Oryctolagus cuniculus: one gene and its partners. The protein of the gene in region 1 purifies or fractionates together with the protein of each later gene. This does not show direct contact. Links are inferred from orthologs where the notes say so. Each region holds a gene or a part of one and is shown in the gene's direction. Other genes may lie near its edges.

Region 1 (4,182 bases):
TCAGCCAGCCGGCTCCCTCACCCCAACACCCCCTTTCCCTGCCCCACCCCGCCCCCTGTGCTCACAGCCTTCAGCCTCCCTCCCAGAGCAGCACGGAGAACACAGTGCATCCATCCATCCATCCATTCCTCACCTGTTAGCCCATGTGCATCTCTCTTTTTTAAATAAAGATTTATTTATTTGAAAGTTGGAGTTAGAAGGAGAGACGGAGCGCATTTGCTGGTTCACGCCCCAGATGGCCGCAACAGGACGAAGCCAGGACCCAGGAGCCTCATCCGGGTCTCCCACATGGGTGCAGGGGCCCCAGCACTTGGGCCATCTACTACTGCTTTCCCAGGTGCATTAGCAGGGAGCTGGATTGGAAGTGGAGCAGCCGGGACACGAGCCGGCGACCATACGGGATGCCGGGGCCCAGGCCACTGTGTAGTTGTGCCCCTCGCCCAGCTATTCCAGGCTGTGGTCACACCATCCCCTCGTGGGGCACCCCACATGGACCTGCAGAAGAGTCTGGGGGTGTGCCGCTCCGGCGAGTGGGGTCAGCACTCCCCCAGGAGAGCAGCCGTCCATGGTGGTGGCCAGGATGGTGGGGGGGAATCCCCTGCTCTGGACCCTGGCCAGGCGTCACCTCCAGGTCTCCGTAGGGCAGCGTCCTAAAGTCTTCAGGATGAGCCGAGAGGGCGTGGCTCATTACCCACGGGCCCCGGGCAGAGCGGCAGTTCCCAGGTACTAAGTCCCCCCCTCCGCCCCCGCGCAGGGAGATGCGATTCCCGTGGGGGCTCCAGGCTGCAACCAGGGTCCCTGTGGTTGCTCTGAGCCCCCAGTCCCTGTTGGCCGAACAGCTCCGGGAGGGCCTTCGGCACCAATCAGGAGCTCAAGGCGGGGTGGTGCACCTGTATCCCTCCACCCCCCTGTCACACCTGTCGCACTTGCTCCTCCCAGCGCTCACCCAGCTGCCCCCGCCAACAAGACGCCGGTGACCAGGGCCTCGTGGCTGTTGGCCAGGTGCCTTGGAGGGGCCGTCCACGCCTATCACTCTGACCACAAGACTTTCCTCGACCCCCAGCCACGGCCTCCTACTACCCCATGGCTCTGTATCTGTGCCGGGGCCTGCTGCGGTGCATTCCAAGGCACATTTCCAAAGAAGAGATCAAGAAGCATGGACAGCGGAGACAGGCGTAGCTCCGGCTTCCCGCTTCGCCGGGACCCAGCGGGCAGCGCAACGCTCCGACTGCCTGCACCCCCAGAGCCGCGCCCCCTGGCCCAGGCGTGGAGCGCGGCGGGGGCGTGGCCTCCGGGCTGACGCACGCGCAGAGCGCATCGGGGAAAATTTTTCTCACGCCTGCGCTAGCTCCTCCCCGCCGCTAGGGGGCAGTGAGCCGGTCCTGGCGCGGTAGGCGCCGCCGGCGTGACCCGGAAGCAGTCGCGCGGTCGGGTTTGGAGGCGGTGGCGGCGGCCGTTTAGTCGCCGGCGGGCCGCGGTGCCAGGATGAACGCACCTCCGGCCTTCGAGTCGTTTCTGCTCTTCGAGGGAGAGAAGAAGTAAGTGGAGCCCGGCGGGGCGGCGGAGGGTCGGGCCGAGGCCCGCAGCTCCTGCGTGTCCTGCGGGCTCGGGGGTCGGAAGTGTTCGAGTGTCCGAGCGGCCTGGGTCCGCCCAGGGGGGCAGTGCCCTGGGCACGCCGGCACTTGCGGGGACTTGCAAAGTGTCCTGCTGCAGAGTGCTGTGGTTCCGCGGGGCCCCGGCAGGCGTCCCTGTGGCGTCCGGCCGGCCACCCGCGTCCTCCCTCCACGCGGCGGCCTGCGCGAGGGCTCCGGAGCTCGGGTCCGCCCTGTCGGGGCCCGCGGTCTGGCGGCCACACATCTGGGCCGGGCTCCCGGGTCGCCCGCCTGCCCGCCCTGTGGTCCTCGGACGCGTGGCTTGGCCGGGCGCCCGTGGGAGCGCGCGGACCGTGGCTTTGGGGTTGCGCGTGGGAAGGAGTGTTTGTGGCTTGGCCAAACCGAGGGGCGCAGGCGTTGCGGGTCTCGCTCGTGGGGAAGTCGCTTGGGGAGGGTTTCGCGCGCGTCTAGGAAGCTGTGGCGTGGATTGCGTGCGTTCCGTGGTCAGCCGCGGGTGGAGCTTGAACGAGGAGGAGGGTGTTCGGGGGCTGCGCCGAGGGCGCAGGTGCGCGGTTGGGGCCTGCGGCTTCGTGATGAGAGGTGGTAGCCGCTGAGTGTGCCCTGTTTGTCCCATCAGCTGCCCCTGGCTTGGCTCCGGGAACGCCTGGTCATCCTAAGAGGCGGTGGTGTGGGCTGGGTCTGGCCGAGGCGCACTGTGCGCACCTGGAAAAATGGGCTGCTTGCACGCGCGCTGTGGTTAAGCACAGGGAGAGGTTAAGTGGGTTCTCGCGGGGGCAATGCCTTCCGAGTCTGAGCAGCCTAGGGTGCGGGGGCTGGGGTGCGACCCTTGTCGGCCGCTCGAGCCTCCCTGGGCACAGACTAGCAACCAGGGGAGCAGGCGTGGTGGTCCCGGGCGCCCCGGGCGCCGTGCAGCCCCCAGGGCGGGCCTGTGGCGCGGGGGGAGTGCCTGCTCCCGCCCTGGCTGCTCCACCTCCCAGGAAGCCGCAGGTGATGGCCCAGGGAGACCTGGCTCTCTCGTGGGCTCCTAGCTTCAGCGTCTCCCTAGCCCCAGCTGTGGCGGGCATCTGTGGAGTGAACCAGCGGAGAGAAGACCTGTGTGCGTCCCTCTCTGTGCCTCTCTTTCTTTCTCCTTTTTTTTTTTCTTTAAGTTTATCTGAGAGGCAGAGTTAGGTCTTATCTAGGTGGCCGCAACAGCTGGAGCTGAGCCGATCTGAAGCCAGGAGCCAGGAGCTCCTTCCAGGTCTCCCATGGGGGTGCAGGAGCCCAAGCATTGGGGCCGTCCTCCGCTGCTTTCCCAGGCGCATTAGCAGGGAGTTGGATTGGAAGTGGAGCAGCTGGGACTCGAACTGGCGCCCATGTGGGATGCGGGCACTGCAGGTGGCTTTACCTGTGCCACAGCAACGTGTTTATGAAGCACCCATTACCATCACAGGTGCTCACGCTGTGGCTTCTGGTATGAACGTGTTTTTAGTTTACACAGCGCCTTTTTTTTTTTTTTTTTTGACAGGCAGAGTGGACAGTGAGAGAGACAGAGAGAAAGGTCTTCCTTTGCCGTTGGTTCACCCTCCAATGGCTGCCGCGGCCGGCGCGCTGCGGCCGGCGCACCGCGCTGATCCGATGGCAGGAGCCAGGTGCTTTTCCTGGTCTCACATGGGGTGCAGGGCCCAAGCACTTGGGCCATCCTCCACTGCACTCCCTGGCCACAGCAGAGAGCTGGCCTGGAAGAGGGGCAACCGGGACAGAATCCGGCGCCCCAACCGGGACTAGAACCCGGTGTGCCGGCGCTGCTAGGCGGAGGATTAGCCTAGTGAGCCGCGGCGCCGGCCTACACAGCGCCTTTTGTATTTCCTTTCCCATGGACTTTTTAATTTGAAAGACCGAGAGGGAGGGAGGGAGGGAGAGAGGTCTTCCATCTGCTGGGTCACTCCCCAAATGGCCCCAATGGCCCGGGCTGGGCTGATCTGAAGCCAGGAGCCTCACGGGTGCAGGAGCGCTAGCACTTGGGCCATCTTCCACTGCTTTCCCATGCCCCAGCTGAGAGCTGGATGGAAGTGGAGCAGCCGGGACTTGAACCCACTGCACCACAGCACCAGCTCCCATGGACTCTTCCGCTGCTTTAAAATTTTTATTTTTTTAAAGATTTATTTATTTACTTGAGAGAGGAGAGGCAGAGAGAGATCTTCCATCTGCTGGTTCACTCCCCAGTTGGCTGTAATGGCCAGAATCGCACCAGTCCGAAGCCAGGAGCTTCCTCCGGGTCTCCCATGTGGGTGCAGGGGCCCAAGCACTTGGGCCACCTTCTACTGCTTTCCCAGGCCATAGCAGAGAGCTGGATTGGAAGTGGAGCAGCCGGGACTCGAACCATATGGGATGCTGACACTACAGGTGCTGGCCCCTTAACATTTTTAATTGACACATAATACTTGCACATTTTTAAAAACGTTTATTTGAAAGTCAGGGTCACACAGAGAGGGAGGGAGGGAGAGGGGTCTTCCATCCTATGGTTTATGCCCCAGATGGTTGCAATGGCCAGAGCTGCGCCGATCTGAAGCCAGGAGCCAGGAGCTTC
Region 2 (3,500 bases), on another chromosome or scaffold:
ACAAAGAAAGGTCTTCCATCTGCTGGTTCAGTTCTCAAGTGGTCGCCTCGGCCAGAGCTGAGGTGATCCGGAGCCAGGAGCTTCTTCCGGGTCTCCCACACAGGTGAAGGGACCCAAGAACTTGGGCCAACCTCCACTGCTCTCCCAGGCCACAAGCAGAGAGCTGGATTAGAAGAGGAGCAGCTAGGACTCCAACCGGCACCCCATATGGGATGCTGGTGCCGCAGGTAGATCTTGGCTTACTATGCCACAGCACCAACCCCTCTTTAAGTTTTATAGGCCTTAGGGCCAGTGCTGTGGCAGTGGGTTAAAGCCCTGGCCTAAAGTGCCGGCATCCCATATGGGTGCCAGTTCTAGTCCTGGCTGCTGCTCTTCTGATCCAGCTCTCTGCTATGGCCTGGGATAGCAGTAGAAGATGACCCAAGTCCTTGGGCCCCTGCACCCACGTGGGAGACCCAGAAGAAGCTCCTGGCGCCTAGCTCCGGATTGGCACAGCTCTGGCCATTGTGGCCATCTAGGGAGTGAACCAGTGAATGGAAGACCTCTCTGTCTCTACCTCTCCCTGTAACTCTTTCAAATAAATAAAATAAATCTTTAAAAAAAAAAGTTTTATAGGCCTCAAAAATTACTGGTAACACTTATTAAGTACTTCTTGAATAAATGGGCCAAAGAATGTAAAAATCATGAAGAGAATACTGAGCGGTCAACATTTGTATCTTAATGAGATTATTATATTGGTTCTTGTTTTTCCAGGAATTCCATTGTTTGAAACTCAGCCAACCTATGCACCCCTGTATGAGCTGATCACTCAATTTGAGCTGTCAAAGGACCCTGATCCAGTACCTTTGAGTCACAACATGCGATTTTATGCTGTAAGTAATGCCCACTAAAGCTAGAATGTAATAGGTTTTATTTAGACCCAAGATGAGAAATTTTCTTCATAACATTATCGAGGTCAGATAACTTCCTTTTGGACTGTTGGATCATATTGTGTTTCCTCACTTACGCAAGAAATTACAGAAATCTCTGAAACCTATTGAGGAAAAAAGGCATGAGTTTTCAAGTCAGGAAGCAACAATGTTCAATTATTTGTTGAAATTTCATATGAAATTCTCTTAATGGCATTCTGAAATTGAGTAAGCTTAGAAGTATGTATTAAGTGTTCATACTATTGAATTCTTTGAAGTGCCATGAATGTATTCTGTGGAAACCTCCTTCAACTACATAAAGAGAAGAAAATGTATAAATTATGAAAGTTTCTAAAATCATGTTTGGGCTTGAATTAGAATTTTTAAAAATAATAGTTTCGCAATTCTGCATTATATGGAGTGTTTTATTAAAAAATACAGATTTTGTACTAACCATTTAGAAATGTTTTTAGTAAAGATTTCTGATGTAATTTTTTTATATTTTCATTCATAGAGAAGGCAGAGAGACAGACACATATTTCCCATCTGCTAGTTCATTCCCCAGCTCTCTGCCATAGTTGGAAAGAAGCCAGGAACCCAGAATTCAGTCTGGGTGTCCTGCATTGGTGGCAAGGACTCAACCACTTGACCCATTACTGCTGCTGCCTAAGGTGCCATTAGCAGAGCTGGAGTCTGCAGTGGAGCTGGGACTCAAACACGACACTTTGATACGGGATGCAGGCACCCATGCACCATCTTTACTGCTATACCAAATGCTTGCTGCCACGTTAGCTAATGAACCTAGTAGCATAGAGCTTTTACTAAATAGGGATCTTTCCAGAATAACGAGTAATTGGTTAGCATTTATAATACTAACTACTTGAAGAATTTACTGTGGGGTTTTATTGCTCCCCCAGATTTTGCTGTACTTTTTTTGAGGAGCAGGTTTCTTCCGGGACAGCTTGTGGTTGGAGCACAAAGGGAAAGTAAATAGTACTCACTGATGTTCTTTTTGCTCAGGCTCTTCCAGGTCAGCAGCACTGCTATTTCCTCAACAAGGATGCCCCTCTTCCCGATGGTCGAAGTCTGCAGGGAACTCTTGTTAGCAAAATCACCTTTCAGCATCCTGGTCGAGTTCCTCTTATCCTCAATATCATCAGACACCAAGTTGCCTATAATACCCTAATTGGAAGCTGTGTCAAAAGAACTATTCTGAAAGAAGGTACTGCCTTTCCTTTTGATATATTTAGTGAAAGATGGAAACTGACTACTCCAGTGGTTTTTCAAAATTTTTTTTTTGAGTTTTTTTTTTTTTTTTTTTTTGACAGGCAGAGTGGACAGTGAGAGAGAGAGACAGAGAGAAAGGTCTTCCTTTTGCCGTTGGTTCACCCTGCAATGGCCGCCGCGGCCGGCACACCGCGCTGATCCGATGGCAGGAGCCAGGTACTTATCCTGGTCTCCCATGGGGTGCAGGGCCCAAGGACTTGGGCCATCCTCCACTGCACTCCCTGGCCACAGCAGAGAGCTGGCCTGGAAGAGGGGCAACCGGGACAGAATCCGGCACCCCGACCGGGACTAGAACCCGGTGTGCCGGCACTGCAAGGTGGAGGATTAGCCTAGTGAGCCATGGCGCCGGCCCTTTTTTTGAGATTTTTATTATTTGAGAGGCAGAGTAACAGAGACAGAAAGGTATCTTCTGTTTGCTGGTTTGCTCACCAAATTGCCCTAACAGCCACGGCTAGGCCACACCCAAACCAAGAGTATAGAACTTCATCCAGGTCTTCCACTTGGATAGTAGAAGGCAAAGCACTTGGACCATTTTCCACTGCTTTTTTAGTTGAATTAGCAGGCAGATGGATCAAAAGTGGAGTAGCCAGGAATTGAACCCAGACTCTGAAATGAGATGTTGGTATCTCAAGCTGCTGCTGAATATACTGTGCCATAGTACCAGCCCCTCGAGTGGGTTTTGAATTTGGTGGCCCATGAAAATCACCTATGGAGTTTTTAAAACTCCAGGTGCATGAGTTTCACCCCAAGACGAACTGAATTAAGACTCTAGTGGAAAGATTAGCGAAGGCAATGTAACCACAAATTATTCTGATGAAATCATTGTGTAGATTGGCATTTGGGAGCCTCTTTTTTTTTCCTCCTTATTCTGGCATATTCTATGTGTTTTTTTGTTTGTTTTTGTAAATCTGAACTCAGTCCCAACACGGTTTGTCTCTCTCTTTTTAAGATTTATTTTATTTATTTGAAAGGCAGAGTTACAGAGAAAGGTAGAGACAGAGAGAAAAGTCTTCCATCCACCGGTTCACTCTCCAAATGGCTGCAATGGCCAGAGCTGGGATGATCCAAAGCCAGGAGCCAGGAGCTTCTGTGTTCTGCACGTGAGTGCAGGATCACAAGCACTTGGGCCATCCTCTGCTGCTTTCCCGGCCATAGCAGAGAGGTGGCTTGGAAATGGAGCAGCTGGAACTTGAACCGGTGTCCATTTGGGATGGGCTTTAACCCACTGAGCCACGGCACTGGCCCTCTGTATTTTAAGGTCAATCATGATAATCAGTTTCCTGGTTTATGAACACATTTTCTTTT
Region 3 (4,170 bases), on another chromosome or scaffold:
TAAAAAAGAGAAATACATGATAATTGACAAACTTCTTAAGCACTAAGAACATACTTCAAACGGTAACTATTGCATATGCGTTTTATTTTTCATGTATGTCTTGCAGATCACCTGCAATTCTGCTTAAATCCTGATGGCTGCGAGTTTTCTCGCAGTGTGTTATCTGAGCTTTTCACCATACTAGAAAGGATGTATTCCAGTCTGTCTGTATGTATTTATTTATTCTAGGCCAGATTTGGTCTTACCTTTATAGCTTCCCAATCTAATGCCTACAGCGAGCTCAATAAAACTGGTTCGGGCTCCTGCGTTATTAATCCATGGTATTTTCTTACTCTATTTTAAATAAAATAACTGGGGTTTTGAAGGCAGCCCTTTGAACAGTGATTAAGGGATGCGGGAACGGATACCTTGGCCTGTAATGTTGTAATTTGGTACAGTTTTTTTCCTTTTTTTCAAATTAAGACCGAATGCCCTCCATCCCGCCTGCTACCGCGTGTTCCCAGATCTGATCCCTGCCAAGGGCCGTGGCCCCCGCCGTTAACAGCCCCTCAGCCAACCTCAGACACAGGGCCCCGCGCGGCCCGGGGGCGCCGCCCGCCCTCCGCCTCTGGGCGACCCCCGGGGGCCGACGCCAAAGCGTCCCCGGCGGGGCCCGAAAACTCCACGCAGTCCTCGCACTCGGCTCCGAGCGTCCCCCCCCCCCCGGCCACGGCCGCCGCCCGCCCCCGCCCTCCCGGGCGCTCACGACCCCGGGCTGGGCGCCGTCCCCCCAGCCCCTCCGGGCCCCCGGCCTCACCCGCCGCCGCCGCCGCCGCCCTCGGTCCCGGCCACCGCGGGCGGCTCGGCCGAAGAGTCGGCCCCCGGCCCCCGGCCCGGCATCTCCCCGGCGCCCGGACGGCGAGCTGCGTGCGGGAGAAGCGGGCCCTGCCCCTGCCCCCTCTGCACGCGTGCGTCAGGCGGGAGGTGTCGGGGCGACACCTCGGGAAGCTGGGAGGGCTAGGAGACCCACGACCCCGGATCTGCGGGAGTGCGTTACTTGGTGGCGAGTCTGTGCTTTCGCATCTTTTTGTGCAAGGGACGCGTCACGGGAACGAAACGCACACGCTCCCCTGAACACGAGGTGCCTTCCACCTCAGGGTTCCAGACCCTCAGCACATTTGCAAAGCTTGGGTGGCACCGTCCGAGCCCAACGCCAATGCGCAAACCAAGAATCAGGGATGCTGAGCGTTTGCCGTTATCCTTTGTCTCCCTGGCAACCAGGCTCCGGCGGCTACCCAACCGCGGGTTTCCGCCAGCCGCTTCTGCGCACGCGCAAGACCTCCTCCTTCACTCTCTCCCTCCCTCCCTCCCACCTCTCTCCTCCCCGCCCCTTCCGTGTCTCCCGGACGCGTTTCTCACGGGACTTGGCCCGCGGAACGTTCCGTAGCCGGAGGTGTGACTTACCCGGAAATGTATAAGGAGCTTCGGTTGCGATTGGTTCGCACCTCGCGCTCCCGGAAGTGGGTGGGCGTGGCGCCAAGGCTGAAGCGGGAAGTGTGCCGTACGGCCCTGGAGAAGCCGAGGGTCGGCATGCCTCGTTACGCGCAGCTGGTCATGGGCCCCGCCGGCAGCGGGAAGGTGAGATTTGGTGGGAAAGGAGAGAAAGATCGTAACCCGTGTGAGGCGAGGGTTCGGTCCTGAGAGAAGGGCGTGTACCGAGGGCCTTGAGACTCCGCGCCGTTCGCTTCTGCTCTCGGTCTTCGGGGTCCTGTCGTCTTGCAAGGGGGTCGTGGCGGTTGTTGGTGGACGCTTAGGCCCCGGGTTGGAGTAGCCCAACCCTAGGAGATGGGTCTTCTTATTCCCGTTTAGGGAAGGTCGCGCGCGTACGAGTCGGGACCTGAACTGGAATCCGGGTTTGTTTTGTTTTTCTGACTCCAGAATCCTGTCCTTTCTCCCTCCCAGGAGACTAAAGTGGGGTCTTTGTGGGTGTTTCCCAAAGCCTGGGACGTGGACTTCTGGTATTTGAAGGGATTTTAGATGGCAGTGGGACCCCGCGTTACGGAACATCGGCTCGTATGCTCAGAACATTCCCCCTTCCCCTTCTGGATTCCACTGCGGTGAAGCTACGCTGGCTTCTAACGTAGCTCCATTTTTTAAAAAAAGGACTTATTTTATTTATTTGAAAGTCAGAGTCAGAGTTAGAGAGAAGGAGAGGCAGAGAGAGAGAGGTCTTCCATCCGCTGGTTCACTCCCCAATTGGCTGCAATGGCCAGAGCTGAGCCAATCCAAAGCCAGGAGCCAGGAGCCTCTTCCAGGTCTCCCACGTGGGTGCAGGAGCCCAAGGACTTGGGCCATCTCCCACTGCTCCCCAGGCCACAGCAGAGAGAGCTGGATTGGAAGTGGAGCAGCCGGGACTTGAACCGGCACCCATATGGGATGCCGGCCCTGCAGGCGGGGGCTTTACCCGATACACCACAGCGCCAACCCCCATGATGTTTTTTGTCAACAAATATTAAGGGCATGGTGGTAGTAGCACTCAAATACTGTAAAACCAGTGAAGATATTGAGCAAATAACGTAGTTGGGGAAACACTGGAGTTTGTGGAGGTGTCAGGAGGCGTCAGTGTTCAGCAGAAGCACCTGCTGAGCCACTGCCCCCTCCTATGCAGGAGGTTCCACACGGGACTGAGATTTGGCCGTCTCCTGCCCAGGGGCACAGCCTGGCTGGGAAGAACGGTGACTGCCAGTTAAGATACAGCTGGATGGGGAACTGGCTGTTAGCCTAGCAGTTAAGAGGTCTGTGTCCCACATCTGCACGTCTGGGTTCAGTGCCTGGTGCCAGCTCCTGGGTCCAGCACCACGGTGCCGCAAGTTGGGCTGCCACCTGTGACACCAGCATCTCACGGGCACTGGTTCAGTTCCCGGCTGCTCCACTTCTGCTCCAGCTCCCTGCGAATGCATCTGGAAAAGCACCAGGAAGTGGCCCAGTGGTTTGGCCCCTGCCACCCACGTGGGAGACCTGGATAGAATCCTGGCTTTGGTGCAGCCGTTTGAGGAATGAATCAGCAGATGGAAGATCTCTCTCTCTGTCTCTCCTCCTCTCCCTCCAACTCTGCATGTCAAATAAATAATCTTAAAAAAAAAAAAAAAAAAAAAGGGAAACTGAGTTCCTGCCAGCTGCGTGGCAGATCTGGATTAAGATCTTTCTCTCTCCCTCCCTCCCTCCTTCCCTCCGTCTTAAAATTTAAAATAAATAAAAAAGGAATGAGAAGACAATGCGGTGTATGGAGAGGGCTTCCTAGGCAGAGAAAACAGTGTGTGTGAAGGCACTAAGGGGAGAGCATGATGGGAATTATTTCTTTTGACAGAGGGTGGGAGGGATAAACAAGTAGATGCAGGATTTTTATGTGATGTAGTAAGGACTACACAAGGGATAAGGAATCTCTGAACCAGAATTTGAGGGGCCAGTGTGGTGGTGTAGCAGGTTAAGCTGCCATCTGCAATGCCAGAATCCCATATGAGCATCAGTTCAGTCCCGGCTGCTCCACTTCTGATCCAGGTCCCTGCTAATGTGCTTGGGAAAGCAGTGGAAGAGGGCCCGAGGAGCTGGGTCCCTGCCACCCACATGGGAGACCTGGGTGGAGTTCTGGTTCCTGGCCTCAGCCTGGCCCAGCCTCGACCATTGCAGTCATCTGGGGAGTAAACCAGTGAATAGAAGACCTCTCTCTCTCTCTCTCTCTCTCTCTCTCTCTCTTCCTCTCTCTCTCTCTTCCTGTCTCTGGTACTTTGCCTTCCAAATGAATAAATAAAAAAATAAAATCTTTTTTTTTTTTTTTTTAAGTTGCAAACTGCTAGCCCACCTCCAGGCTGTATATTGGCCTTGGTGTTCCCTCATCTAGAAATGCTCTTCCTCTGAGTTGGCAAAACGTTCCCGTAGGCTCAGGTATCCCCTACTAAGAGACACCGTCCCTGGCCGTCCTACCCAAGTCTTTGTTTGGACCTTGCTGGTTCTAGTGGAGACACGATGTGTTGGGTGCTGCACCGTGTAACCAGAAGCCTCCCCTTTGAGTTCCTTTTCTTCCACGTTAGAGCAGTGATGGGCCTTGGTTATCTTGAAGGGCATCCCAGTTAGAGAGGAGACACCTGAGGGCAGAGTGGGGAAGCACCTTCCCCAGAGTTCCCATGAGTCCAC
Region 4 (4,039 bases), on another chromosome or scaffold:
AAATGCTGGCAAAAGCAAGGACTAGGCCAGGCTGAAATAAGGAGTCCAGAACTTCATCTGAGTCTCTTACATATTTTACGGGACCCAACTATGTCAGTCATCATCTGCTGCCTCCCAGGGTATGCATTATCAGAAACCTGGATCCAAAGTGAAGGAGCTGGGACTCGAACCAGGCACTCCACCAACATGTGATGCTAGTGTTCCAAGCAGGGACTTAACCACGGTTTAATTCTATTTTCCCACAAACTTTTAAAAGAACTCTCATGTCAAAACAAAACAAAACAAAACAAAAAAAAAAAAAAACAAAAAAACTCAATGTTCCTTTTACAGTCACTTTTTCCTGAAGGCAAAGAAAAGCTTAACAAACAGGTTTGAGAATTTGGAAAGGACAACCGAACTTTTACACGCAAATTACTTGGGAAGACTTCACAAGTAAGGGTAAGGACTCTAGGCTCTAGATATGGGAATAGCATTTGGGGGTGCGAGCATCTGAATTCTCCTCTGGGCTCAGGCCAGGACTTGCTGGGTTAGATGCTAAAGATGCAAAATACAGGCATTCAATCACTTGAGTGCATACAAAGAAAAAGCTTGCCCATTTAATTAAACACACGGGATTATTCCTAAGTACAAAATAGCAGATCTTTTGCAAACGACTCAGGGACCCTCCATTTGACTAATAAAATGAGATGCTTACACATAGTATTGCCAATCTCTGCTTAGCTCCAGTCATAGATTGTGGGCCACAGAGCTGCAATCCTCAAAGAGGAATTCTAGAAAAATGCGTCTCCATTAAAAAGTTTTTAAATGCTCATACTCGTTCCCATCACCGGGAGTGAAACGCGAACCTCTCGGGTGAAGTCAAGATGTGACTTGCCTGTCCGCCTCCCAGGCTCTGCCTTTTAAATACTAAACGCTTCATTCCCTAGCTCTACCTCCACCTGTGCGTTCTACCTCCCCTGGAAACCGCCAAATCCACAAAAGCCGCGAACAGTCCCCACAGGCTCCACGCGCTGCTTGTGCAGTTTCCAATAGGCTAGTTCATTGCCAAAGGATCTCTGCTCCCACGCCCTACAGTCCTACCTGATCTCCTTTGATTCAGTAAAGCCCTGACCTTCTCTTTTTCCCCTTGGCGGGTCTTACTTCCTTTCAGGACCGCCCCTCCCCACCTGCTTATTTGGTTGGTCAGCGCGCTTGTTATACGTCATTCACCCGCGCCACCCGGAAGCCGCGGTTATACCAACCCGTTCTTATCGCCGGCGGCCCTCAGGTAAGGGCCGCATTTTGGTATCCCTGGGTGGCCGAGTCCTAGAGTTGGGAAGGGCAGAAGGCGGAACCCCCAGCAGGACCCGAACGTGCCCATTTCCCAACGTTGAGAGGGTGGAGATGACCTGCATGAGTCCATACTGAAGTGGTCAACGTGGTCTTCCCTCTGCTCATTCCCCAGGAGCCCATAATGGAGACGCCCCCTAAAGGGCGGGTGGTTGAGGCCACGGGAGAGAAAGTTCTGCGCTATGAGGCCTTCATCAGTGACGTGCTGCAGCGGGACTTGCGGTGAGTGACAGCGAGAGGGGCGGGGCCTTCAGAATAGTCCACGTGGTGGGTGGGGCGTTTAAAGTCGGGGGCCAAGCCTTCAGATTGGTGGGCGAGACGTTCGGAGCCCGTCACCACGCGCCATTCGAAGGGGAAAGGAGGAGCGACTTCCGGGGTGCGATTTGGCTAGGACGTGGCGTTCATAGGGCGTGTCTGCGCATGCGCGGTCCCGATGTTGCTTAATGGATTAAGGGCCAAATTCCAGATCCACAGTTCTGGGGTTTGAGTTCTGGCTCGGCTACCTGCCATCCGTGTAAACATCGCACCTTGCCCCTCCTTTCTGTGCCTTATAAATTTCTCAAATCAGTAAAATGAGGAAGTTTATTACGGAACCTTATTCATGCAGTGGTTGAGTTTAAAAAAGTGTGATGCCTGAAATATGTTAAAGGTTCAAGGAATGTGAAAAGCTATTATTACTAATCTGAGCAGGAAGTAAGGCTTAGACTATGAGCATCCCGAAAGGGGTGGAGGATTTTTCTAGGGTGAAGATGAGACATAGAGATTGACATTTGGGAGTAAAGTGTAATAATAGTAAGAGCTAACACGTATATAAAGCTTATCATTTGGAAGACATCATTCTAAGTGTCTTATAGTAAACATTCATTTAATCCCAGTGCCTCCGTGAGGTTAGAATGCCACTCCTATTTTGTAGATGAGAAAACTGCATATAGAACAGTTTACTTAGTGAAGTCACACCACTAGCAAAGGGTAGAACCCAGATTCAAACCCAGGCAGTCTGACCCAGTGTCCAGAATTTTAACTTCTACACTAAAAGGCCTACTTAGAGCATGGTAACTGGAGCACCTCAAAGAATCATGGTATAAGGTTTCCCAAGGAGGACAAAGCTGCCTGTTGGTCACCATTTGTACTTTTGTCCCATCAGAAAGGTGCTGGACCATCGAGACAAGGTATATGAGCAGCTGGCCAAATACCTTCAGCTAAGAAATGTCATTGAACGACTCCAGGTAGATATATCATGGTTGGGTACTGTTTTTTTTTTTTTTTTTCATTTGGTTTTGGTATGTGTGTGATGGGGGGAGCATGGGAAGGAACTGAGAAGAGAGACCCTAGACCAAAACCTGTCACCTGACCTACAAATTGACCACTGACCCCTACCTCTTTTTCCCTGGCCCCACAGGAAGCTAAGCAATCGGAGTTATATATGCAGGTGGATTTGGGCTGTAACTTCTTCGTTGACACAGTGGTGTGAGTGTCTACCCGCCCTTCTGAGCCCTTCCTTCATGCAAGATATTTTTTTTTTACCATCTTCTATGTACCAAACACTGTGCTAGATTTTACATACCTTAGGACATAACCTAAGTACTGGGAATATGACAAGAAATAAAATAGAATAAAGTCCCTGTCTTCCCAGAGTCTCAATTTGGGGAAGGGGAGGGAGTAAAAAATTAACTAAACTGTATGGTATGATAAACAGTAATAAGGATGTCTTCCACTTCCTCTAACCTCTCTCTCCTCAGCTCAGATACTTCACGCATCTATGTGGCCCTGGGATATGGTTTTTTCCTGGAATTAACACTGGCAGAAGCTCTCAAGTTCATTGATCGTAAGAGCTCACTCCTCACACAGTAAGTGCATTCTTGAAGGTAGTATCTAAAACACCCCACCATTTTTTTAAAGAATTTATTTATTTTATTTGAGAAGTAGAGTTACAGACAGTGAGAGGGAGAGATAGGGAGAAAGGTCTTCCTTCTGTTGGTTCACTCCCCAGATGGCTGCAACTGCTGGAGCTGCGCAGATCCAAAGCCAGAAACCAGGTGCTTCTTCCAGGTCTCCCACGTGGGTGCAGGGGCCCAAGCACTTGGGCCATCTTCTATTGCTTTCCCAGGCTATAGCAGAGAGCTGGATTGGAAGTGGAGCAACCGGGACTAGAACTGGTGCCTATATAAGATGCCGGCGCCACAGGTGGAGGATTGACCTGTGCCATTGCATTGGCCCCAACACCCCACCATTTTCAACACTCTTCTCCCTTAAGTTAGAGACCTACCTCCGTTCCTCCTCTGGGCTGTAGCTGAGGAAAGGGGATGCAAAGTTCAGCCCCAGGTATAGCACATAATAAACACTCCAGTAAGGGAGCTTTGTATCATTCATTCACACAAACATATTGGGCATCTTCTGTTTACCACACTCTGTGCTTGACAGTGGAGATGCCCCAGGGAACAAGACAGAAGAGTTTCTTGAGAGCTTACATTCTAGAGGGACTGTATTATTAGACCTAAATACAACTATGACCGGATCCATGAGGCCTCAGCCTGTAAATCAGTAACAGTAAAACAGGTTACCTCTAATTTAACATGTTCATTTTCCTGCTCATTGCTGTGCTCTTGCCACAGTGACTTGCACATGCTGCTTTAAATGTCCCAAGAATGCTCTCACCTCAGGGCAGATGCCATGGCTGTTTTCTCTGCTTGCAGTGCTCTTTCCCCAGTAC
Region 5 (4,178 bases), on another chromosome or scaffold:
AAAATGTTTTAAAAGTTTGTAAAAACAAAAAACAGCATTGTGGTCTGGAAAATGAGGCCTGAAGCCACAGAAGCCTGAATCAGGTGGCAATGGAAGCAGAGCGGGGCTCTACTGCCACGTCCCACGCTATTTTAAATTTTACCAATAGAACAGTGCTTCTTTTGTGTCATTAGCATGGTCAGGAACAGAGAGGAACTATACTCGTTCTGATGATGGTATACAAAGCTTTACAAAGGGAAAGTAGTACTTTTGAACATCGATTCTTGTAAAATAGAAAAAGAAGCCCAAAATCAATTAGCTTCAAATGCCTAAATCCTGGACTAACAACATGGAGTCAAAACAAAACAAAACAAAAACTTATTTGCCCTAAAAGAATCTCATTAAATATACAGTGTTTATAGGGCAGCAGGCGCTGAAGTTCACTACTCACACACTTCTATGACAATCTCTTCACCAAGCCTTCTCGCCGTCCAACACAAACACAAAATTCTACTGCTATCTGTGTGGAATGCAGCTTCCGAGGGCACCTGGGAAGATCTTAAGGCAAGTCTCTGCATGCCTTTTCACCGTGTAGCAGGGAAATCCAGACTATTGGGAAAAGGTTGGCGTTCTTACCCTGATCTCCACATTCCTTGATTTCAAGTTAAAGCGAATCTGAAGGCCCAAGTGTTCTACAATAGGAGTGAATATCTTCATCCAGTTTTCCTTCAGCGGGGTGTACCTGTTGGCTGGGACTGGAATCTTCCTCGTTTCTTCTTTCCCACCCTGTAAACACACACACACAAGTGAGGAGACGGCTGGAGGGTGGGGGTGGAGTCGTAAAGTGACAGCTGATCCTCAACAACTTTCCTTGAACTTAACTTAGGAAACGTCAGAACAGTCTCACGGTAAAGACGAGTCCCTTCCCCCCGCCCCGGGGGGCTTCAACACTGCCGCCAGGCCACGGGCTTGCCCGGCCTCGGTGCCTGTCCCAGGGGCCCCGCCAGTACCAGGAGTCCGTCCCCGGACATGGGCGGGAAGACGGGCCTCTTGGCGGGCCGGGCCTCCTCGGTGTCCATGCGGCCCGCATCCCCGCCCTCCCCGGATGCGGACAGCTGCTCAGCCTGCCGTTTCTTCGCCCGCCGGCCACCCTTGCGAGTGACTTGAGTGAAGCCGTCCTCGGACCCAGAACCCTGTGTCTCCATCTCGCCTTCCATCTCCGGGAACCTCCGGGCAGGGTCGGCGCTCCCACTTCGAACACGTGCACGGCTGCATTGCGCAAGCGCACCGCGCAGGAGCCGGGCTTCGCCAATCAAGCATAGGGCTCCGCCCCTTTTCCTTAGAAGTCCCACGCTGGGGACCTGAATCATACCCGTGTGGGCGGTCTTAAGATATGCCTGATTCTTGTGGTCGCTCTCCGGCCGCTCCATTAACAGCCAAAGTGTTTCATCATCGATAATACGTATGTGTTAAATACTGCGTTTAAGGGATATAATCAGATTTTAGCTTTCTGTGAAGAAACGTCTTGTGCAATCTCAGCATCGCATCCGGCACGTCGGAGATAACTAAATCCAAGTTGCTCGAGCGTTAAGGGGCCGAGTACGGCTAGCGGGAGAGACAAACTTAATTTGTGTTTGGAGTCTGGTTTCCAGGTTGGTGTTTGCGGTTGCGGGAGGCGAAATCGGCTGTACCATGTCGGCCTTCGAGAAGCCTCAGGTCATCGCCCATATCCAGAAAAGCCTCAACTACACAGTGTTTGACTGTAAGTGGGTGCCGTGCAGCGCCAAGTTTGTGACCGTGGGCAACTTCGCACGGGGCACCGGCGTCATTCAGCTGTACGAGATCCAGCACGGGGACCTGAAGCTGCTTCGGGAGGTGGGTGCCGGGTCGAGATGACGCAGGTCCAGGTTCTGGACTGCCGTTGATGGCGAGTGCGGATCCTGGGGTCTGCAACTGTCTTGGCCAGAGTCTTCGTCCAGCGTCTCCCCAAGAGCGTAGCTCGAGCTTCGTGGGACCAGAGAAGCTGATCGCAGATTGAGGAATGCGTCTGGCGTAAAAACTTGCTTTCTAGTCTTGAATTCTCTTCGGCGGGCTAGTTCATCGCGCCCTGCCGACCCGCTTCCTCCTGCCCCCTCAGCGCAGTCCAGCGCGAGGTCTCTAGGAAGTGACCTGTCTACCTTCTGGGGCCTTTGGGGGCTGTTCCTAGTTGGTTTTGGAGTCTGTTAATAGGCCCATGTTAGAAAGTGCTTTTCATGGAAGTAGAGAAGAAGCAGGCGCCCGGATGCCTGTAAATACTTGGAGGAGACAACCTAACATTGATTCATGGGACATGCGTCAGCTGAGGGCCTGTTGTTCGCAGGCATGCGCATGGCAGGTGACCCCAGTCTCATGGAGAGATAGTTAAACAATCAAACCAACGAAGATGCCTTAATGCAAACCGAAATGAGTTCTCGTAACACAACACTGTGAGAGTATAAACAGATTTGGGATGAGCAGAAACTTCCTAGGGCAGATTAGCACTAGAAGATGTTATTTCCAAAGGAAGCCCCCCGGGGGAAGCTTAGTGATGGGAGAAAGGCTAGCTCCTTAGGAAACGAGGGATAAGCAGAAACCAGACATTGCAAGGTCCGTGGGACGTGAAAAGGAAACATCAGTGCAGGGCCTCAGAGTGTGGCAAACAGATTTACAAATTTTGTAAAGATGACTGGTGAAAAGATTGCATGACAACTAGTATTGTAACAACTTTACAGCTTTGTAAATGTCCTGGTGTGGGTTGCCTGAGAACGATGGTCATTTAGAATCAGGAGTTCAGGTCTGGGATGGGCTAAACCGGCAGTGATGTTGAGAGCTCCGTGGGGAGCGTCAGCTCGCAGGAGGTTGGGGTTCTGCTGATAGGAAGCCTGAGGACAGTTGGGTAAGCAAGCCTACCTGGGCGGGTATGTAAGGGCCGCCCCCACTGCAGGTTCCCCTGGATGCCTGTTTTCTTGTTCACTTGGTAGCCAAGCCTTCTATGGAGAGTTTCTAAACATAGTTTACTCTTTTCCACCTTTCCTTATGCTGTTCATCACTTAGGTCATGGTCACCTTTTGCTAGTGTAACATCCAGGTCAGGTTATCTGATGTATGAAATTCTTGATCCTCACACAAAGCAACTTTCCCTTACATTGCATTCCTATAGGACTTACTATCTATACCAGAAATATACAGTTGGTTCCATTTTTCTCTCACTAGATTGTAAGCTCCTGGAGAGTAAGGACAGTGCCTTTCTTGAGTGTGGTTTGTAAGGAGCAGCCACTCAATAAATTACTTATTAAAAGGAGGAATGGATGTATGTTTGTAAATAGGATATAACTTGAGAAATTTACATAATGGTTTACTGATCATTAATTAAGTTGGTATAGCATTGAAATAGCAAAGAAACTTAGAGGTGAAGTATTAGTAGCAAATGCCAATTGAACCTCAACCAGAGAGCATTTATATATGACTTGTACACATTTAAGGAATGCACTTATTCCATTGAGTGAAATGGTACTCTTTGTCTCTTGAGATACTTGTGGAAGTCTAGGAAAAAAAAATTTTTAGCAAAGGTGGTATGTGTTCATGATAGAACGTTTAGAAAATATGAATAGGAGCTTTGCGCAGTGGCAGTATTGTAGCCAATAAGGTTTATCCGAGGCACAATTATTGCTAATTGAAAATATGAATAGGAAAAAGAAGAAAATAGAAAATACCATCATAGTCTAATTGCCAGGAATCACTACTTTTTATATTTTCATCAGGATCCTCTGCATCTTCTTTTATTCTACCATACATTATCTATCAAGAACTTATTTTTTCAAGGTAGTGTGCTAAAAAATGGACCAGTGATACCTGAAGGATAGTTCCTTCTCCTAAATTCTAAAAATTTGATAAAACAGTTACAAAACCACTTCCAAGAACTCATTTGGCTGTGGTTATGCAATGGAAAAAATATAGATTAAATACAGATTCCATGATTCTCACCCTTTCTTGTGCATCAGGATCACCTGAGTGTGTATTGTTGTTGTTAGGTGTGTGTGTTTTCAAGTATCCTGCTTTGATACAACCCTAGGAATTCTGTCTCACGGTGGTACTATGGTATGTCTACACTGGAGCATGGCCTGGACATCATGGTTTTTTAAACTTCTGCCAGATGATTCTAAAGAGTAGTACCAAGGTTGA
Region 6 (3,500 bases), on another chromosome or scaffold:
GCTGTAAAGAAACATAAAGCATGGAAGGACCTGTAAGGTATGAAGGAGCTAAGTTACATGATAAAGATATAGAGAAAGATGAAGAATATGTAAAGAGAGGTAAAGAAAGACTTTTGTAGGAGGTATCATTTGAACAGAAACTCAAGTGAGAGATGAAATGAACCATTTGTAAGAGGAGAAGATGCTAGGCAAGAGGGAATACTTAACAGATGCATTGCAAAAGCTGTGCTGGGCATGTTTGCAAATCAACCAGAAGATCTGTTTGGGAGAAGATAGTAGGAAATGTGGACTGAGGTTGCCAGGAAGCAGAGCATATCCTTAAGGCCCAGGGTAGGGAGTTTGATTTCAATATTGTTATGATTGGTAGCTCTTGGAAAGATTGAGAACAGTATGATCGGATTTACATTAATAGGATGCTTTCTAGAGACCCAAGTGAGAGAGCAGAGGCTGAGAGATCAGTGACAAGACTTAACAAAAATCTAGGCAAGAGCTAATAACATCTTAGTCTATAGTGTTAATGATAAAGAAGAGATGGTTTCCAGTTTTTATATATCCAGTGTTGGGATCTCAGTGTAAGTATCAGTTCTTCAAGGATTCTTCCTGATCTCTCTTAAAATGGACTGGGCCTCTCTCTCTCTCCTTTGTACCATGTTCTCTCTTGTGGTACTTAAAACAGTTCTCTGTGTCAAAGACTTTTCCTTGATCAATACATACTTGCTGAGTCACTTGAAAAGTCACCAACTGGGGATCTCTCTTAGCCTGCTTAGCCCGCATTAGGTTAGGAACATCTTCTTTGTAACCGCTAATGACCAGTACTAAAACTTTAGCATTGCCGGCGCCGCGGCTCACTAGGCTAATCCTCCGCCTTGCGGCGCCGGCACACCGGGTTCTAGTCCCGGTCGGGGCGCCGGATTCTGTCCCGGTTGCCCCTCTTCCAGGCCAGCTCTCTGCTGTGGCCCGGGAGTGAAGTGGAGGATGGCCCAAGTCCTTGGGCCCTGCACCCCATGGGAGACCAGGATAAGTACCTGGCTCCTGCCATCGGATGAGCGCGGTGTGCCGGCCACAGCGTGCCTGCCGCGGTGGGCATTGGAGGGTGAACCAACAGCAAAGGAAGACCTTTCTCTCTGTCTCTCTCTCTCACTGTCCACTCTGCCTGTCAAAAAAATAAATAAATAGGCCGGCGCCGCGGCTCACTAGGCTAATCCTCCGCCTAGCGGCGCCGGCACACCGGGTTCTAGTCCCGGTCGGGGCGCCGGATTCTGTCCCGGTTGCCCCTCTTCCAGGCCAGCCCTCTGCTGTGGCCCGGGAGTGCAGTGGAGGATGGCCCAGGTGCTTGGGCCCTGCACCCCATGGGAGACCAGGAAAAGCACCTGGCTCCTGGCTCCTGGCTCCTGCCATCGGATCAGCGCGGTGCGCCGGCCGCAGTGCGCCGGCCGCGGCGGCCATTGGAGGGTGAACCAATGGCAAAGGAAAACCTTTCTCTCTCTCTCTCTTTCTCACTGTCCACTCTGCCTGTCAAAAAAATAAATAAATAAATAAATAATAAATAAATAAAAATAAAAAAATAAAAAAAACAAAACCTTTAGCATTGTATCTGCAATTTTTCTTTCATAAATGGTTAAAAGCTTTTTAAAGGAGTCTGGGAGTATATCTTGATCACTGAGGTTAATATATGTATTTTTTTTTCCTTTAGTGAAACTGATGAAAGTTGTAAGAAGCACCTCGGAAGAGTGTTATCTATTTGGGAAGAAAGGTCTGTTTATGAAAACGATGTATTAGAACAACTTAAACAAGCTCTGTGTGAGTATATAATTTTGATCACTTATCATGAGCTCTACTTAGTACATGTATTCTTCATTAAAACTTAAATGTTCTTCCAATTCAGATGGTGATAAGAAGCCTAGAAAGCGAACTTATGAACAGATAAAGGTGGATGAAAATGAAAACTGTTCATCTCTGGGGTCACCAAGTGAACCACCCCAGGTACAAGTTTTTATCTTTAAGAATTGCCTTACTTTTACTTTTTTAAAAAGATTTTATTTATTTATTTATTTATTTGAGAGGTAGAGTTATAGACAGTCAGAGGGAGAAACAAGAGAGAAAGGTCTTCCATCCACTGGTTCACTCCCCAAATGGCTGCAACAGCCGGCACTGAGCCGATTTGAAGCCAGGAGCCAGGAGCTTCTTCTATGTCTCCAATGTGGGTGCAGCGGCCCAAACACTTGGGCCATCTGCTGCTTTCCCAGGCTATAGCAGAGAGCTGTATTGGAAGAGGAGCAACTGGGACTTGAACTGGCGCCCATATGGGATGTGGGTGCTGCAGGTGGAGGATTAACCTTATACTGTGCCGCTGTGCCAGCCCCTACTTTTACTTTGAATGACTTCCAAGCTTTATTAATTTCAGTGTTTAAGTTCTATAAATTGATTTTTAAATTACAATTCTGGATGCCAGAAAGAAGCTACATAAATATTTGTTACTATGTGATGTTTGCTATGTTATAGGAGTTCACTTAAAAAAAATTCATTTTTAGAGATAAACAATGTTCCTTCAAATATTTTTGCTGTTAAACACATAAAAATGAATGTAAGTGACAACTGTGTTTTTATACAGTTCTGTGTAACTCTGAAAAGCCAGGCAATTCTATCTGTGGAAAAATAAGATAAATCGCAATCATTATCTTAACTCCCTTTATCTGCTCAGATTTATATGTTTTTTTTTTTTTTTTTTTAAGATTTATTTTATTTATTTGAAAGACAGTTACAGAGAGAGGTAGAGGCAGATAGAGAGGTCTTCCATCTGCTGGTTCACTCCCCAGATGGCCGCAACGGCCAGAGCTGCACCAATCCAAAGCTGGGAGCCAGGAGCTTCTTCTGAGTCTCCCACGTGGGTGCAGGGGCCTAAGGACTTGGACCATCTTCTGCTATCCCAAGCCATAGCAGAGAGCTGGATAGGAAGAGGAGTAGCTGAGACTAGAACTGGCGCCCATATGGTATGCTGGCGCTTCAGGCCAGGGCTTTACCCACTGTGCCACAGTGCCGGCCCCTATATGGTGTTTCTTAACCATTCAGTGAACTCTAAAAGATACTCCAAACAATTAAAAAAAAAAGATTTATTTATTTGAAAGGCAGGGTGACACAGAGAGAGAGAAGGGGAGAAAGCAACATATTCAGTGCTTCACTCCTCAAATAACTGCAACAGCTAGAGCTGAGCTAGGCCGAAGCCAGGAGCCAGGAATCTCCATCCTGGTCTATCATGTTGGCAGGGATCCAAGTTCCTGAGCCATCTTCCACTGCCTTCTCAGGCTCATTAGCAGAAAGCTGGATTGGAAGTAGAGCACTGCTCTGATAGGGTATTCTGGTGTTGGAGGCAGCTGCTTAACCCACTGTGTCACAATACTACCCCTCATTTTGAACCTTCAGTTAAGTAGGCATTGAGACTTTAAGTTCCTCCTTCTGTGTTTCAGCCATATAGGAGAGAGCTGGATTGGAAGTAGAGCAGC
Region 7 (3,994 bases), on another chromosome or scaffold:
GGGCTCACTATGGCAGCCACGAGGATGGTGACTAGCGTGGAGGAGGGGCAAGTGCATCTAAGCAAAGAACTAAACAGGAGCAAAAGCCGGCGTCAGCTAGGAGCGTGTCTCCTAACCGGGGTCTGCCCTCCACTGGGACCAACATTCTCGAAAAGCTAATCCCTCCCACCACCTTCGTGGTAGCCACACAGACAAAACTTCTCTGCTGTCTGGTCCACTGGGAATGTAAGATTTCCTAAACAAGTGTAAGGGTCAGAGTTCCTGAATGAAGGCTCAATTAAGAGCCAAGAGCACAAACGTGTTTCATGCGGCGGCGCTGTCACACTCAACGTCAGAAATGGACGCTAAAACCTGGTCCTAAGGCTGAGTGGGCGCTCAACAGGTGAGAAACCGATCGAGACCTAAAGCGTGGAGACGTGAAAAGGGAACGTGGAAGGCTTAGAAGAACCAAAAAGAGCAAGGCACGTACGGAGGAAAAGTGCGGCCCGGGGCCTGCCAGGTGAGAGAGGAACCACCCCTCCCAACCCTGACCACGGTATTGCAGCCTTAGTGTCCTCGCTGGAAGCCTCTCAAAAGGCTCTCTACCTCTGAGCTCCCTCTCGTTCCCGCCACTCTTCCCTTACCTCGTCTTCCAGCCTTTCCCTGACTCTCCCGCCTCCTCCGCCCCGCCGGAAGTGACGCGCTAACTAGCGCGCCGTACCGCGCCAGAAAGGTTCTGCGGAGAGGGAGAAAAGGTTCCGGTGAGACTCACTGCGCAGGCGTGTGGGCTCTGGCGGTCAAAGCGCCTTCCGGGGGCCGAGGAACTGCGCTGCCTGTCTTGGCCCGTCTGCTTTGAAGTTCTCTGTGCGAAGTTCCGAGAGGCAGCGATCTCCTAAGGAACGTTTTTCTGCAGCTCCGACGCCGGTCGGTGCCCCAGCCTCTCCAGCCCTTGCCCTTTGACCCCGCTCGCGCGGCGGGGTGAGAGGTCGGGTGGCCATCTTGTGGCGGCGGCGCGGGCGGCTGTTACTGCGGAGACCCATCCCACCCCCGCCCCCACCCCCACCCCCACTCCCGCTCCCGCCTCGGCACTCCGGGCCGGGTGTCAGCCGGTAAAGCGGCCCGCAGTCTGGCAGCTGAGGCCCGCGCCGCGTGCCGTCGCTCTTCTCGCCGCACTGGGCGGCCCAGGCCGCTCGCTGCCGGGCCTCCGCCGCCACCATGTCCTCCTTCTCCGAGTCGGCGCTGGAGAAGAAGCTCTCGGAGCTGAGCAACTCTCAGCAGAGCGTGCAGACCTTGTCCCTGTGGCTCATCCACCACCGCAAGCACGCGGGACCCATCGTCTCCGTGTGGCACCGCGAGCTCCGCAAAGGTAGGCGCCCCCTTCCCCGCCCCCTCGGCCCTCGCGAGGGTCGTCCTGTCTCTCCATCCACCTGCCCCCGCTCCGGCCCCTTTAGCTTCCTCATCGGCCCTTGCTTTTCCAGGCCTGGGCCTCTCTCTGATCGCCCTTCTGAGACCAGGGACAGTATTGTCCCGGTTTCTGGAAGAATGCAGCAGGGCCTGGGAAGGTTTAAGGTTCCTAGCTGAGGTTTCGTGGAGCAGAGCTTAGGTGCAAAGATTTGCAGTTTTCCTCCTGACACTTAATGCCCGTCGGTATCTCGGCTGCAACGCTCGGCGGAGGATGAAGGGAACTGGCTCTGGTCTGTTGGCGGCCAGGCCCGGCCTGTGCTGGGCATCGGGACTAGAAGCTGGAGAGCTGTGCAGTCAGGCTGCCTAGATCCAACCCTGCCTGATGCCGGGTGAGTTTCCTTGTTTCCCATGAGGGAGACAAGGGCAGCTGCCACTTCACAAAGCCTTTGCTCCATGCCAGGCACTGAACTGAGGCCTTTGTCTGTATTCTCGGGCTGAGCGGCCTGTGAACTGGGTAGCCTCCCTCTTAGAGAAGTCGAGGGGCCGTTCCTCCTCGGCTACGCTGCCTGTGCAGCTGCCCTGGGATCCAGGGCCTGGCACGTGCACGGAGTTGAGCTGCCTCTTGCCAGGCACTGAGTTGGACATGCGACAGCATGGGACTGGCACCTGCTGACCCCAGCGGCTTCACCTGTCTGGAAGGCAGAGGTGGTGATAACAGAATTCCTCTGCCTGTCAGGAATGGGCTCCCACGTGCGGTGTCCTGGGGAGTTCTAGAACAGAAGAGAGGCCGCTCGGAGCTGTGCTGGACCCCTGTGTGCAGTAGCCGTCCGTGGCACAGGAAGTGACTGTGTTCTCTGCCACCCTCTTTTATAGATGAGGACACTGAAGTAGCTAAGTGATATTTTCAAGGTCTTTGAACGGAGACGGCTCAGACTCTTAGCAGGCTGGCAGACGCCAAACTCCTGGGCTTTTTCAGGAGACAGTCTCAGTGCTCCAGCGGCACCTCCAAATGTGGGCTGCAGTGTGTGTGGGGGGTCCTCTCAGCCTCTTGGGCAGCTGGTGCAGAGAGCCTGGAGCTCCCAGAGCCTCCTTCGTGCACCCCACTGTGCCATCCGAAGACTATTTGTAACATCTGAGATATGGAAAGAGGGGGAACCACCTCCATCCTGAGTCCTGCTGGGTAGGATCTCCTTGATATTACTTTTGTGAAAACTAATTGATTCCTCACTGTACTTATTTGACTTACTGAAAAAATGACAATTTAGAAGATGCATGGGTTTAAGAAGTTATGAAACTCCTTTATCTCTCGTCACACAGGCTAGAGCTCTGTGTTGTAGATAGGCTGGCATTATTATCCCCATTTTATAGGGTAGAAGGTTAAGATACTGGGAGAGTCAGTGCCTTGTTCAGAGGCGGCGTATACCTGGACGTGAGCTCAGGATGGTCTGATGCCAAAACTTGTACTTTTCAAGTCCCCAGTGCCTGGGTGCCCTTACTAAGGAGGCAGTCATCTGGTTCTTCCATTTAGTAGAATCAGTCATCGCCTCCACCCCATCACTTGGTTGTGTCTTTTCCGTCAGATTGTGTTTGGGGCAGAAATTAAACTTTCTTGTTTCTCTGTAATGCTGCATCATTTAGCAAGGTGCCTGCCTGTCACACAGTTAAAGAACAGCTTAAGTGTTAAATTGTGGTCCCTGATACCATTTTGAGTAAAGGATCCAAACAGCACTGACCAATACAATTTTCTGTGACTGTAGCAGTGTTTTATATCTGCCCTGTCTAGCAAGGTACCTGGTTGTCACATGGCTGTTGAACATTAAAATGTGTGACTAGGGAGTCAATGTGTGGTGTGGTGGGTTAAGCTGTCACTTGCGACACCAGCATCCCATATTGGAGTGCAAGTTTGAATCCCAGCTACTCTGCTTCTGATCCAGCTTCCTGCTAATGTGCCTGTCAAGGCAGTGAGTGATGGCCCAAGTACTTGCGCCCCTACAACTCACATAGGAGACCTGGGTGGAGTTCCTGGCTTCAGGCTGGCCCAGCCCTGGCTGTTGTCATTTGGGGGATGAACCAGTGAATGGAAGAGTGTGTGTATGTGTGTGTCTGTCACTATGCCATTCTAATAAATAAATAAATAAATAAATTTTTAGAAAGTGTGACTAAGGAACTAAGCTTTAAATAAACCGAGTTGAGAACTCAGCCCCAAGTTTTGGTAGCCAAAATTCAGGTGTTCAGTAGCCATATGTGGTTGTTACTGACACTGTATGGAGACCGTGCAGAGCTAGCAGACATCAGGATGCAGCTGTCTGATGGCCAGGCTTCCTTCATGAGCTGAAAATGCAACCCACACTAAAGTAGGAAAAGAATTTGTGCCCACATGTTCAAATCCACTGGTCCCTTGGGTTCTAACCCACCTTGCGTCCTTAAGTGTGAATGTTGCTGTCTGTGGTCAAGTCATTTTCCCCACAACGATGTTTGACGTTCACATACTGTCTCTTGAATTGTCTTGAAAATCTTTACAAGATTTACAAACAATTACTTTTTTTGGATTAAAATACTACTTCTATTTTTTGATACATTTGATCTTCCTTTTATTTCTAAACTTTGTCTT

The links.
Region 2: the proteins of POLR2J (region 1) and MED1 purify together in Homo sapiens (affinity purification with mass spectrometry; 3 studies listed by BioGRID and IntAct, with this or other methods). This does not show direct contact. The link is inferred for Oryctolagus cuniculus from reciprocal best matches to the Homo sapiens genes POLR2J and MED1.
Region 3: the proteins of POLR2J (region 1) and GPN3 purify together in Homo sapiens (affinity purification with mass spectrometry; 4 studies listed by BioGRID and IntAct, with this or other methods). This does not show direct contact. The link is inferred for Oryctolagus cuniculus from reciprocal best matches to the Homo sapiens genes POLR2J and GPN3.
Region 4: the proteins of POLR2J (region 1) and UXT purify together in Homo sapiens (affinity purification with mass spectrometry; 3 studies listed by BioGRID and IntAct, with this or other methods). This does not show direct contact. The link is inferred for Oryctolagus cuniculus from reciprocal best matches to the Homo sapiens genes POLR2J and UXT.
Region 5: the proteins of POLR2J (region 1) and DNAAF10 purify together in Homo sapiens (affinity purification with mass spectrometry; 3 studies listed by BioGRID and IntAct, with this or other methods). This does not show direct contact. The link is inferred for Oryctolagus cuniculus from reciprocal best matches to the Homo sapiens genes POLR2J and DNAAF10.
Region 6: the proteins of POLR2J (region 1) and RPRD1A purify together in Homo sapiens (affinity purification with mass spectrometry; 3 studies listed by BioGRID and IntAct, with this or other methods). This does not show direct contact. The link is inferred for Oryctolagus cuniculus from reciprocal best matches to the Homo sapiens genes POLR2J and RPRD1A.
Region 7: the proteins of POLR2J (region 1) and RPRD1B purify together in Homo sapiens (affinity purification with mass spectrometry; 3 studies listed by BioGRID and IntAct, counting the BioPlex papers as one, with this or other methods). This does not show direct contact. The link is inferred for Oryctolagus cuniculus from reciprocal best matches to the Homo sapiens genes POLR2J and RPRD1B.

Annotation. Positions count from the first base shown.
Region 1 is NC_091450.1:44,084,269-44,088,450, reverse strand, and holds the start of POLR2J (DNA-directed RNA polymerase II subunit RPB11-a), read left to right. Parts: upstream 1-1,382; 5' UTR 1,383-1,485; coding exon 1,486-1,538; intron 1,539-4,182. UniProt on the Homo sapiens protein: Core component of RNA polymerase II (Pol II), a DNA-dependent RNA polymerase which synthesizes mRNA precursors and many functional non-coding RNAs using the four ribonucleoside triphosphates as substrates.
Region 2 is NC_091448.1:22,931,233-22,934,732, forward strand, and holds part of MED1 (mediator of RNA polymerase II transcription subunit 1), read left to right. Parts: intron 1-753; coding exon 754-872; intron 873-1,928; coding exon 1,929-2,130; intron 2,131-3,500. UniProt on the Homo sapiens protein: Component of the Mediator complex, a coactivator involved in the regulated transcription of nearly all RNA polymerase II-dependent genes.
Region 3 is NC_091452.1:8,131,416-8,135,585, reverse strand, and holds the start of GPN3 (GPN-loop GTPase 3), read left to right. Parts: upstream 1-1,370; 5' UTR 1,371-1,449; coding exon 1,450-1,617; intron 1,618-4,170. Other genes in the region: protein FAM216A, read right to left, coding at 797-879. UniProt on the Homo sapiens protein: Small GTPase required for proper localization of RNA polymerase II (RNAPII). May act at an RNAP assembly step prior to nuclear import.
Region 4 is NC_091453.1:33,164,717-33,168,755, reverse strand, and holds the start of UXT (protein UXT), read left to right. Parts: upstream 1-1,239; 5' UTR 1,240-1,267; exon of another isoform or gene 1,268-1,444; 5' UTR 1,445-1,453; coding exon 1,454-1,551; intron 1,552-2,473; coding exon 2,474-2,555; intron 2,556-2,728; coding exon 2,729-2,796; intron 2,797-3,068; coding exon 3,069-3,176; intron 3,177-4,039. UniProt on the Homo sapiens protein: Involved in gene transcription regulation. Acts in concert with the corepressor URI1 to regulate androgen receptor AR-mediated transcription. Together with URI1, associates with chromatin to the NKX3-1 promoter region.
Region 5 is NC_091433.1:134,456,054-134,460,231, forward strand, and holds the start of DNAAF10 (dynein axonemal assembly factor 10), read left to right. Parts: upstream 1-1,378; 5' UTR 1,379-1,671; coding exon 1,672-1,854; intron 1,855-2,417; exon of another isoform or gene 2,418-2,431; intron 2,432-3,608; exon of another isoform or gene 3,609-3,684; intron 3,685-4,178. Other genes in the region: RNA-binding protein PNO1, read right to left, coding at 616-765, 990-1,196. UniProt on the Homo sapiens protein: Key assembly factor specifically required for the stability of axonemal dynein heavy chains in cytoplasm.
Region 6 is NC_091441.1:41,651,602-41,655,101, forward strand, and holds part of RPRD1A (regulation of nuclear pre-mRNA domain-containing protein 1A), read left to right. Parts: intron 1-1,693; coding exon 1,694-1,800; intron 1,801-1,885; coding exon 1,886-1,983; intron 1,984-3,500. UniProt on the Homo sapiens protein: Interacts with phosphorylated C-terminal heptapeptide repeat domain (CTD) of the largest RNA polymerase II subunit POLR2A, and participates in dephosphorylation of the CTD by RPAP2.
Region 7 is NC_091442.1:20,660,731-20,664,724, reverse strand, and holds the start of RPRD1B (regulation of nuclear pre-mRNA domain-containing protein 1B), read left to right. Parts: upstream 1-1,194; coding exon 1,195-1,345; intron 1,346-3,994. UniProt on the Homo sapiens protein: Interacts with phosphorylated C-terminal heptapeptide repeat domain (CTD) of the largest RNA polymerase II subunit POLR2A, and participates in dephosphorylation of the CTD by RPAP2. Transcriptional regulator which enhances expression of CCND1.